Linked DNA regions of Lepisosteus oculatus. The protein of the gene in region 2 interacts with the protein of the main gene of each other region in a pairwise test. Links are inferred from orthologs where the notes say so. Each region holds a gene or a part of one and is shown on either strand. Other genes may lie near its edges.

The links. The genes of interacting proteins can lie anywhere in the genome.
Region 1: the proteins of tfip11 (region 2) and snx20 interact in binary tests that used the Homo sapiens proteins (3 or more experiments, as listed by UniProt). The two-hybrid records come from large-scale screens. The link is inferred for Lepisosteus oculatus from reciprocal best matches to the Homo sapiens genes TFIP11 and SNX20.
Region 3: the proteins of tfip11 (region 2) and sfr1 interact in binary tests that used the Homo sapiens proteins (3 or more experiments, as listed by UniProt). The two-hybrid records come from large-scale screens. The link is inferred for Lepisosteus oculatus from reciprocal best matches to the Homo sapiens genes TFIP11 and SFR1.

What each region holds. Positions count from the first base shown.
Region 1 is NC_090715.1:2,169,349-2,173,099, forward strand, and holds the start of snx20 (sorting nexin-20), read right to left. Parts: upstream 2,528-3,751; 5' UTR 2,083-2,527; intron 473-2,082; 5' UTR 451-472; coding exon 294-450; intron 122-293; coding exon 1-121.
Region 2 is NC_090717.1:14,668,326-14,672,076, reverse strand, and holds the start of tfip11 (tuftelin-interacting protein 11), read right to left. Parts: upstream 2,722-3,751; 5' UTR 2,568-2,721; intron 2,239-2,567; 5' UTR 2,205-2,238; coding exon 1,999-2,204; intron 1,576-1,998; coding exon 1,419-1,575; intron 1,132-1,418; coding exon 975-1,131; intron 835-974; coding exon 707-834; intron 284-706; coding exon 128-283; intron 1-127. Other genes in the region: srrd (SRR1-like protein), read left to right, coding at 3,550-3,701. UniProt on the Homo sapiens protein: Involved in pre-mRNA splicing, specifically in spliceosome disassembly during late-stage splicing events. Intron turnover seems to proceed through reactions in two lariat-intron associated complexes termed Intron Large (IL) and Intron Small (IS).
Region 3 is NC_090699.1:36,349,955-36,353,705, forward strand, and holds the start of sfr1 (swi5-dependent recombination DNA repair protein 1 homolog), read right to left. Parts: upstream 2,691-3,751; 5' UTR 2,459-2,690; intron 2,060-2,458; 5' UTR 2,040-2,059; coding exon 1,947-2,039; intron 1,940-1,946; exon of another isoform or gene 1,870-1,939; coding exon of another isoform or gene 1,861-1,869; intron 1,310-1,860; coding exon 890-1,309; intron 208-889; coding exon 16-207; 3' UTR 1-15. UniProt on the Homo sapiens protein: Component of the SWI5-SFR1 complex, a complex required for double-strand break repair via homologous recombination. Acts as a transcriptional modulator for ESR1.

The DNA of each region.
Region 1 (3,751 bases), on a different chromosome or scaffold from region 2:
CGGGCGGAGGGGATCTCGAACAGCAGCTTAACCGGCTTCTCCCGGGACTTCACCCCCTGCCAGTACTCCTGCAGCTCCTTCGTGGTCATGGAGGAGCTGGAGCTGGGGCTCAGATCCCCGCCTGCAGCGCGCACATGCGGACACACGGCCACAAGCACGGAAGACAGTGACAAAAATAAAAGACTCTTAGAAACGAGTTTGTGTTTCACTGTATTCCGGCGGTTTCTCTGCTCTGCAGCAGCACGCCTGGGCTTCAAGCACTGCGTTCTAAAGAGGCGAAGTGTTTCACGAACCGAGAGCTGCAGGGTCCAGCTGGGGACTTGGTGGTGAAGCCGGGGCATGATGGACACGGTGCCCTGTCCGGGTGTCAGACTCCGCTGCCGGCTGCGTCAATCCATAATCCTCGTCCAGGCAGGGACCCATCTGCCCATCATCACAGGTATCCCCCATTGGCAGAACAGTCTGGGTCTCCCTGTGATGGGACACAGAGTACACAGAGTCCTAGTGTCTTACTTCCATTGCAAAGGACATGAGACACATACAGTATAGTCAATGGATATTGTATACAGAGTCCTAGTGTCTTACTTCCATTGCAAAGGACATGAGACACATATAATCAATAGATATTGTAAACAGAGTCCTAGTGTCTTACTTTCTATGCAAAGGACATGAGACACATACAGTATAGTCAATAGATATTGTATACAGAGTCCTAGTGTCTTACTTTCATTGCAAAGAGCAGCGGGCACAACTGGAAGATATGAGGAAGCACACTGAGGACTGAGAATTGAAAGCACTCTTTTACAAACAGGGGATGGGTGCCTGGAACAAGCCACCAAGATGCTGGATTGAAGCCGATTCCCTGTGAACCCTTGAGAAACAGATGGATGAGATCTTGCAGCCAAAACGGGTGTGATGAGCTGAAGGGTTTTTAATTTGTTACCATTCTGATTTTATAGCCATCTAGGAGTTGTGATGCTTTCATATTTTATCTGAATTTTGCTCGTTCTCTAACTGGAATGTTATGATGGAGAATACGGGCATTTCATATACTACAAATAATCTTGATATGGACATGCATAAAAGCCTAGCTTTGAAGCACAGTCGACAATTAAATTAATCTGCACGTTTCCGATATGATTAATTGGGTTGTTTCCTAACCATTAGTCTGTGATTATCCTGTAAGTGATTTCTGAATAAAAGAAGAAGAACAGTGTCATGAATGGGACAGGGGAGAGAGCACAAAATTTTAGAAATATTTCTCTGAGGCACTGCTTTGTCTTTAGAGGTCTCCATTGGAAACAACAACTTAGAAATGCAAACTGCACTTGGGGAAAGATCCGGAGGTCTTTTAAAATCAATCTGTGCTTTCATTTTCTTAAAGGAGTGATGTAGAGAATTTAGAAATTCGTGTTGCGCGGATATCTCTGGGAAGCGCAGCAAGAGCCCAGGCTGTAGCCTGTGGATAAGTGAGTGCAACTGGGCTAGAGATCAACCAGCTACAGCTGCAGTTCTGCAGGCAGAGCTGAGCTCTCCACTGCAGTCAAGGTCAAATGGAAATGAAAACCCATACGAATCCAAACTACACAACCACAATGAAAGCTTTGTGTTTGAAGAATAATTAATCAGTTTCCCCAGAGAAACTAGATAAACTCAAATGTATTCTAGGGGGTACCCGTCCTTTCGAAGTCGTTGCTATTAACAATGCTGTTGGTGTACTTAACTGAAAATTCCTCCTTTATGGGATAATAACATTATTTTACTTTTTCTTTCACTTGATCCACAGTCTAGCCAAAACACTGGGCTTCCTCTCTCAAAGGTTCTCTCTCTGTTTGTATCCCAGCTGACAGTTTGGCGAGTCTGTAAAATGAGGAAGTGATGCTCTACATGGCTTTGTAGTATAGCACCTCTGTGGACAAGCGCGGGTCTGAAACCAGCATAAATTGTGACGAACTGGGTTTTACCCCTGGCCTCTGACCTCTGAACTCTGACCTCCTACAATACACTTGGCTGGTGAGCACTGAACCTCCCTGTTCTGTTTGCATCAGGAGCTGAAATATAACATAAAACTGGGCTGCTTACCCGCACTGCCGTGCCAGTGTATTCCTGTTAATGTTTTCAGTTCCACACCATGCTCACGTGTTGCGCTCTCTTACCAAGGATGAATATGCCATATTGACGGAGGTGAGCATCCTGTTAGCCTGGGCGTTCTGGCCCTGCAAGGTCACGCTAGACTCTGTCAAATGGCACTGCCTAGGGGGAGAAAAAGAGAAACAGGTCTCGGGCTTTGAGGAAGGAAGTGCTGGTCTGCGATGTGTACTGTGATTGGTCTGCGCTCACACTGTGGAGAGGGGGTGGAGGTCTGTGTGTGCAGGGAAGGAGTGGTGCTTGTGTGTGCAGGGCAGAGATGAATCAGCTGGCTTCTGAGTCAGATCTTGCAATCGCTTCCCTTCACTCGGACCCACCAAGGAAAGTGGCTCATACCAAGAGCAGGACCAACCCCTTAAAACAAGCAGGCTAAAAAAGCCAGAGGCCAGCTCTGGTGCTGCTGACTTTCCAGTCCAGTGGGCCATGTAAGGTAATTTAAGTATCGTAAAAGATACTTTAGAACAAAAATGTGAATACCCCTCATCTTGTGAAGGAAAAGGTCATTAAACAAACTATTTGTTCAATTTGATCAATAACTTCAAAGTGTTCTAAATCTTTAGATGCAGGAGACGGGAGACCTGAACTAAGTAAATGTAAGGATCTCCAGGATCTGTGTCAGACATCTCCAACCCTGATCCTGAAAAGCCCCAGTCCAGACTTTAGAGGCAGCCTTTACATCATCAGTTTCTGAAGGAACTGGTGTATTTAAGACATTCAGCGAGACAAGTGGTCCTCTCACTGACCCATTACTTGCTTAATTGATCAATTACTTAACCAAGTGTCTCTAATCCTTACATAACAGGTGATTGAGGGGTGATCTTTAATAATATCTGGTTTGAGGCTCAGAATGACCAGGGTTGGAGATTCCTATGGTAAGTGCCCCCCCAACCCCACTTATTGAATTGAAAAAATGTCTTTAAATGTGTCAATATGAGCCAGTAGCAGCTCTCCTGATGTTTTTAATTGCAAATGTTCCAAGTGTTCACACCTGGATTTCTGTGTTCCAAAATCACAGTCACTTCCCCTATTACCATGTTTTAATATATTCTAAGGACAATTATGCTTGGGACCACTGGAATACACAGTAAAGCAGTGTTGCTCTTCAAGTGGTAATAATAAAGTTTAGATACAAAAGAAATCCAAACGCGATCGGGCACCTGTTTCTGTATGTGGGGGCGGGACGGAATAAGGTGTCGTTTGATCACTGTAGACCAGCGGATCCCAGCCCACCTTCATCAGAGAACCGAAGTCTTACTTGATCTCAGAAGTTGCCTCAATTGAATATTTGCATTTTATTTCATTTACGAAATTACACGGTTCAAGTTCCAACATGCTTAAGAGCTGGGGAACAGGCAGTTCAAATTAATCTTTTTACTACTAAGTCAATGGAGGGTTTGACTGTATAACTGAGGACTCGGCTGGGACAAAACCAACAGGTGTGTGTGTGGGTCACCGGGACTGGAAGCTTTTACTGTAGGACAAGAATGCAGCTGACACGTAAGAAATTGTCTCGTCTCGGATTTTTTAATCTTGTCAGCATTTGCCTTTTATGTTAGTTTCGGTTGTCCACGTCTGCGATGTTGGTCAAAGAAACGTTTGGATT
Region 2 (3,751 bases):
CTACATAACTCAGCATAATGGTGATAATTCCAGAACACTAGCAAAGAATACTGCTCTTGTATCTGGTGTGATAAAACATGCAATCGAAACACTAGATTAAACGCAGTGTCTATATCTCCCTGCACACCTTGACCTGGGCCAGCTCCGCAGGGGGCGCAGTCATGCTCTTGCCCACCGCCTGCCCCCGGGCCTTCAGCTCGTCCACCGTTCGGTACGAGTATTTGGGCTTCTTCTTCCCAGCCCCTGGGTCTCTGCGCCACTGGCCCAGCTCCCGCTGGAAGTCCTGCGGGAAGAGAGGAGATTCTGAACGGGCAGCTGGGCTCCCTGCCTGGCCAGCGGGGGAGAAGTGAGAGGCAGCGGCTCTCGGGCGAACGTGAGACTGGAGTTTCACACGTGACTCAGAAGGGCAGACAGCAACGGGAATTTATTCCACACCTCAGTTAAAGCTGCTGCACAAATGTAAAGATGCAAACCAGCAAGACACAACACATGAATGAAAAAAATGAATAAATGTGCTGTGGCTTTGTACATTTGTATGAATGTGATTCAGCAGAACTAAAAGTGCAGCAAACACCTTTAAAAAAGGACCTGAGCGCTGGCTGCCTTTTACCAGAAAGGAGTAAAAGCTTCACAGAGGTAATCCCGAGGCACACAACCAGAGACTGTTGGGTGCACATTAACAGGCCAGATCCGGAGCCCCACTCACCTTTTCCTCCTCTTCCTCAGAATCCACGATGGGGAAGTCCTGCAGGGACTGCTGGGTCCTCTCTGTGCCATAAGCTCCCACTGCCCCCTTGCCCTTGCGCACCTTAGCCTCAATGGGGTTCACAATACCTGGGCAAAGACATAGCATCTGGCACTGAGGAGCAGCACTGGCAAAAAAAACTCAGTAATGACAGACAACAATGGGCACACAGTCACACTGTCAGGACACTGAAACAAGCACACAGATCCCACAGATCTCTCATCATTACCCTGTGCATTCTTGCCCAGCCCTTTGCCTGGCACGTAGCCCATCTTCTGCAGCAGTTTCTGCCCAATTCCACGGGTGTGTTTCTCCCAGGTGCCCAGGTCCTGCCCACCACGAGTGCCACTGCCAAATGCCCTCTGGGAGCTCTTAAAGTTCCCCCCCTGGTGTGCAAACAGAGAGAAGGCAGACACACAGGGGAAACAGAACCACATCAGTGTGCTGTATTACCCCGGTGGCAACAGCCCACTCTGTATGCATAGCTGTACCTGCAGCAGGTGCGAAGAATGAGTAAGGGACAGAGAAAAGAAAACTCCAGCCACCGGAGCACAAGCAACTGAACTGAAGGCCATATTGTGAAGAGAGGACACTGCAGCGAGCCGTCAAGCAGGATTTACAGAAGAAACGGGAGGTTCTTCCCCCCCAGCCCCTGACCTCAACCCTTTCTCACCGTCTGCAGCCTTCTGGGCGCTGACTCCCGGGGGGGCGCCTGGGGAGGGTCTGCCTCTGGTTCTGAGTCGTCAGATCCCTCCTGTTCTCTCTCCTCGGCCGCGCTCTTCCGGAGCCCCGCGCTCACGAAGCTGACAGGTGCAGTGTAGTCCCTGGACCTGGACACAGAGCAAACCATGTAGGAAACTGCCCCAGATATAAAACATTATACCCACTTTAATAAGGCTGTGAGATTTTCCTGAAGCAATTTTAATAATCCCCCTCTCTGAACTGGCTTCATCACGCTGCTCTCCTCCCCACTGAGAGCTGCTGTGTGGTGAGCAGACTGGTGCAGCCTCCAGGTGAGGCTGCACACTGCTGGTGGTGGAGGAGGTAAAGAGCTTTGAGTGTAGTGTCCAGAAAAGGACTATAGAAGAGTAAGAATTATTATTACTCTACAATACAGAGGATACTTAAGGTTTTTATTTTTTTTTATGATCTGAATGCACTACAGCCCTCGGGTTTGCACTGAATTCACAAACTCCACTCTCTTACACTGACACCCAGATTCAAGCAAACTGGCAGACAGGGGCACGGCGCACCTCTTCCCACCAAAGCTGGGTCGCTCGTCATCGGAGTCGCGCTCGGCCCACACGCCGTATGTCGCCTCCTCTTTGGTCTGGCGGTGCCGGCGCCGGTCGGGGTTGAACTCGTTCTCTAAGTCCCAATCCGTCACCTCGAAGCGCTCGACCTCCACACCCTCCTCCTCCTCCTCGCCCCCCCTCCCGTACAGGTGGGACAGAGACATCCTCTGGGCGGCGCTCGGACTGGCACACTGCGGTCTGCAAGGGAAGGCAGGACCGTGAATGTATTTTTGCTGCTTATAGAAAGATATCTTCACCGTGATAGGAGATCGTTAAAGGATATCCTGTCAGATATTCTGGGATTTAACAGGCACCGAGAATCCAGATCGGGCAAAAAAAAATCGTGTAGTTTTTCAGGTTCTGCTCGGTCGGGTTCCGTTCTGTGGCCCAACGTCCAACACCAGAGTGCGGTCCCGACCAGGGGCGCCCAGCGCATCCGGCACGTCACAGCTCATTTTCAAAATAAATTAACCAGCCGGCAAGTAAGGCGTTTCCCGATTAGGAGACAGAAAACTGGACTCCTTTACCTCGATGGATGACGATTAAACACTCAGCAAACACCAACCTGCTTCCCTGCCGAGTATTTTCGTGGGGAAATTGCCGGACTTCGCTCGAAAACTAAATCTCGCCTTAACCCGAGAAGCGTAAACAGAGCGACTTCCCTCCACTTCCTGAGAGTGCACAGTCTACACCCGTCCCCTAGAAACGTAGACTAAAATTGTCTAGAAAAATAGTCGCCGAATCTGTGCATATACCAAATAATCAGAGTGGAATGTTTTAAATAAATAATGTGCATGGTGATATATGCAAGCCTTGTGACTTCTTGTTTCCTTCTGTTCGTATGATCTGACTCCTACCGGACCCCTCACAGTCGGAACTTTTGTCACGCGTCATAGTTTCCGCCAGGGTCTTTGTAAGGCCGTACGCGCAGTCAGAAGTGCAAGGTGGTGTGTGTTTGGTTGAGGGGGTGGGATCAGTCCAGTGGGCTCTGTGTTCAGCCGGGAGGACCGGTTTCATCTGACAGCTCTGAGGTTCTCTGGTAGCTGAGTGACGCTAAGATCAGAGTGAGCACTGGGAGGGTGGTGGCTGCATTTTACTACTGTTTTTGACACGTTGCATTTATTCTTGATAGAAGAGTGAAAAAGAGCGTACGGCTCTTCGTAAGGTTTGTTCTGTTCGGAGCGAGGAGGGACTTTTTGAGTCAGCGCTCCACACAGACGGTACCGGGGACTGTTCTGAGCTCACGGTTAGGGTTATGTACATCTATACCGTCTCCGTTACGTTAATGCGCTGTGGAGGATCTTGACAATATTTTCAGAGTAGTGCAACACGGAAAACGTGAAATTACGTCAATTAACGGAGCGCTTAAGTTGGACAAAAGCCAGCGCAGGTCCGACCCTAGTCTTCCCTCTCGGCAAGGTCACAGAGCCGTGATCGCAACCGCTGCGCGGAGCCCGGCGGTGCTGACATTGTATCCTGGTCTCCTAGGATCCCAGCTTTCCCAGAGGGATGGCGGGCGGCAGCGGGGAATGGCAGAAGGTACAGCGGAAGAAGGGGAAAAGCCGGCCCAGGCGGTGGGGAGGACAGGGACAGCAGGGTAACTGTGTCCTGGACGATGCACCGGACACTCGGCAGCTCCGAGAGAGGATCACCGCAGCCATGTGAGTCTCTCACCGCGCCGGGCAGTTCTAGGAGGTATGGCTTAGGCCAT
Region 3 (3,751 bases), on a different chromosome or scaffold from region 2:
TCCATTTTGTAAAGTTTATTGGTCTGAGAACTCTTCCTCTGTCCTGTTGTAGTGCAGAATGCGGTCATCCAGCCCATAGTGATCTATAAGCTGTGTGAGACTAAGCTGTCTCCCATCAGTGCAGAAGGCTGACTTTAGCTCATATAGTACTGCCTGGCTGCTGCCTCTCCACTTGTTGATTAGAAACTGTAGCTTATCCAGGTCATTCTGGAAAGAAAAATACAATATGGCCTGTAAATACTTCCATTTTCTGAAGTGTAGAAAATGCACCAGATCTGTTGAGGTTTTTCCTCAGCTTCTACAGAGATTTATCATGTCACCATAACTTGAATTCCTCTCACTTGAAATTGATTTTTCATTCTAAACATAAAAAAAGACATTTTCAGCTAATTCACACTGCAAGAAATAAAACGGACAATATTTCCATGGTACTCAATTTGCATAATCCAGTACCATGGAAATATTTTCCAAGTTTTATTTGCAATTTGCATAGTTATTACTACAGAACCGGCACAGATAAATATCACAAAATGTCCTGAAGTTTTCTTTTTTAGTTCCAATTCTCAATTACAGTTCATTTAAAATGCAATAATACTCTAGTGTTATAGTAGTTAGCTGAGTCAGCGTGCGTAAGCTGCAAAGGAACAAGTAAAGGTTTATTCCATGCTGAAAAGACAAGAAACACAATGTTTCGGCTGTGGCGCCTTCTTTGGGTGCCCTCACCTGAAGAAGGCTCCACAGCCAAAACGTTATAGTCTTATAGCATATTTTAATGTCATGTTTTCAGTCATGTAATTACATGACTTCACACAATGAGAAAGTACATCCGCTCACTGTTCAATTTACAGCACAGTACATCGGAGGATATCTGACATATTGCTTGAGATACCTTTGTTCTGTACATTCTAACCATCTTCAGTCTCCGCAGCATTTCCTCCTTTTCTCCGACTTCTTTCTTTAGCCTGTCTCTCAGCTGAAGCAGATCTATCTGTGCGGGAGGATCAGCTCTTTCTCTGGAGGAACTGCTCTGTGCTGCTTCGTTTCCACTCTCTGTGCCGGTTCTGCACACATCCCACTGTCTGGAAGTATCGGTCACCTCCGGGCTCTCCCAAGGCCTCCCTTTATTAATGCTGAGTGTGTTCCCGCCGGCACTGTCCAGGTCACGTTCGGACTTTGGAGACACTTCCTGCACCTTCGAGTCGTCCTCTGCCTCGGGTGGATCTATTTTAAGCCGTTTTGCCACCGTAAATGGGGAATGAAAAGAGCGCCTTGTTCTTTTCAGTCTTTCTTTCAGTGAAGCACTCATCGGCTAAAACCAGAACAGAAACAACCTCAGGTTGCATTCGGTTAGTCAGCGCTGTTGAAAAACATTAAAGGCAGACATCGTTTCGGAAAAGAACGCAGTGAATAAATATTATTTACAAGACGTGTCAAAATAAACAACAGTGTGGGACCTACTGTATAAATACTTAGCCAGTTGTTCAAGAGTCTTTCAGCAGTGCGTTCTGACAAGAAGACCTACAAACTGACCAATATATTAAAGGATTGAGGAGGGCTGGTTCAAATGTAATTTAAACAGACTATTTAAAACAGCTACCTCTGAAAATCCAGAGGTAAAATGGATTTAAATGGATCACAATGGCACAACATACAGACTCACTCTATAATAACCAGTAAGATGTGAGACCTTTCTGTCTCAGTATTGATCTATGTAAGCTTTTAGAATAATTGAAATGGATGTTACACAAAGGAGTGACACCAATTAAAGTAAATAGTGGTTTGCCTTTAAACCTACATTGACATGTAGCCACAATTCTGTTTCTGGGACAATAAAGTTGGTGGAAACAGCTCTACCAATACCTCAGCCATGGCAGTGTGACAGTGTAAGGAGCATAGAGTCTCATAGGAAGAGTTTAAAACCGCACACGTCTGTCTAGGTCTGGCACCTGTTTGACACTGAGGCCATGGGGTGTGGAATTCAAGGTGCTGTCTGGCGTGCAGAACACAGGCTTTGTTTTCCTTGTGTTTGGTGTCTCCATGCTGAGCTGTACAAGATTACCTAAAAAAAGCAAATGTCAAATAATAAGATTGCTTACAATACCACAGTTGACAATCAAAGCCTCACTTAATAACCCAAGTTGTTGTACAAAATATCACGACATGATCTATCTCCAGGAAACCTTGCAGGTAGTTCGCGAATAAACCTAGAAATTATCTTGTTCTACCTGAAGTACTGACATTAATTACGTAAGATGGTACTCGCCTTACATACAAAATGTTTTACACTAAGATTATAAACACGCACCTCATCTTAATATAATTTACCTCTTGCTATCTCCCCTCGAATGCCCTTCTTATTAATTGTAATTCAAGGTAATATAAATATAATATAAACTGGTTTATGTAAATAAGTGCTATTATACGTTTTTAATATTTCTTTTTTAACTTGCGTTCTTACTCGTTAAGACACCAGCAGCTGTGCTTCTCCTTGGGAAACAGGATAGTTGTCTGCATATTCTTCACGATCAATGGAGTACAAAGTCGATATTATCACAAACTATACGTACAGTACTATTCATATATTGATTTAGTGAATATATAATCAGAAATGTCACATTTTATCCGTGACACTAATAATCCAAAACACAAGCCCAACACTTGACTGTTTATCCGAAGGTAACTTCCTTCAAATTAGCCGCTACTTCCCGGTGTTGAGGGAACGCATGCGCCAAATACCACTGCTCTGTGGTAATTGTAGTTTTAATTTGAAAAGTTTGGCGCAGATTAGACTACACAGAAACTGATTTTACTTTCTTCTTTCGAACATTTCACCACAATTATAATATTTGTAATTATTTATTACATTTGTATGGTTTTCAGTTTCGAATGTTGATAAACGTCTAATGTTTTAGTAGCTGGTGGCTTTATTAATTGGTAAAATGTATTTTACAGATTTGAAAGGACAAATATGTGTAGAACAGACGTTGGTTTATCCTGCCAGTAAACGCACTTCTCATTGAAAACTGTTTCGGGCAAATATTCTCATTAAAAAAAGAAAAATAAAATAACATAATTTTATCAAAGCTTAAATGCAATGTATTTATCGATTATTTAACATTTTAATAATTATACAGATTTAGTAAAAGAGCAAACATTTCCTACTCTCCATAAAGCTTTTCTCCTTATCTTGAATATTAAAATTAAAATTAAAATTAAAATTGTCATTAAAATAACATTAATCTCAATGCACCTGTGGTTCGTTAGGGTTAAGATAACAAGCCATCCCTTGAGTGAGAAAATACAAGAATTACAATATCTGACAATACAGTGAAGCGACCTGATTTATGACAGCATCCAACCGGAAATATTTTTGGTCCACAATTTGAGTGCCCTTTATCAAAAAAAGAGGTTCATTGTTTCATGATTGTGCCTCACAAAATGCAATACGGTTGTTACCCAAACATTGCTACCAAGACCATCCACATAATCTTTATAAGGGAAATACAGTAGTACTTTATGGTATCTTTATATGCTGCATTATTATAGATCACTTTAAACTGAATTATGTACTGTAAAAATCATTTAGTTTTACGTCACAATTGCGTCTTTGGTTAAAAAAGTATTGGAATGCATTTTTATTCTTGAACGTTTTAAAAAATAGAAATTCGATAAAAATATAATTAAAACAAAAAACAATTTCAAGGGATTCCTACACAGCAGCCATATCACTCTGCAACTCACAGCTGGCAGC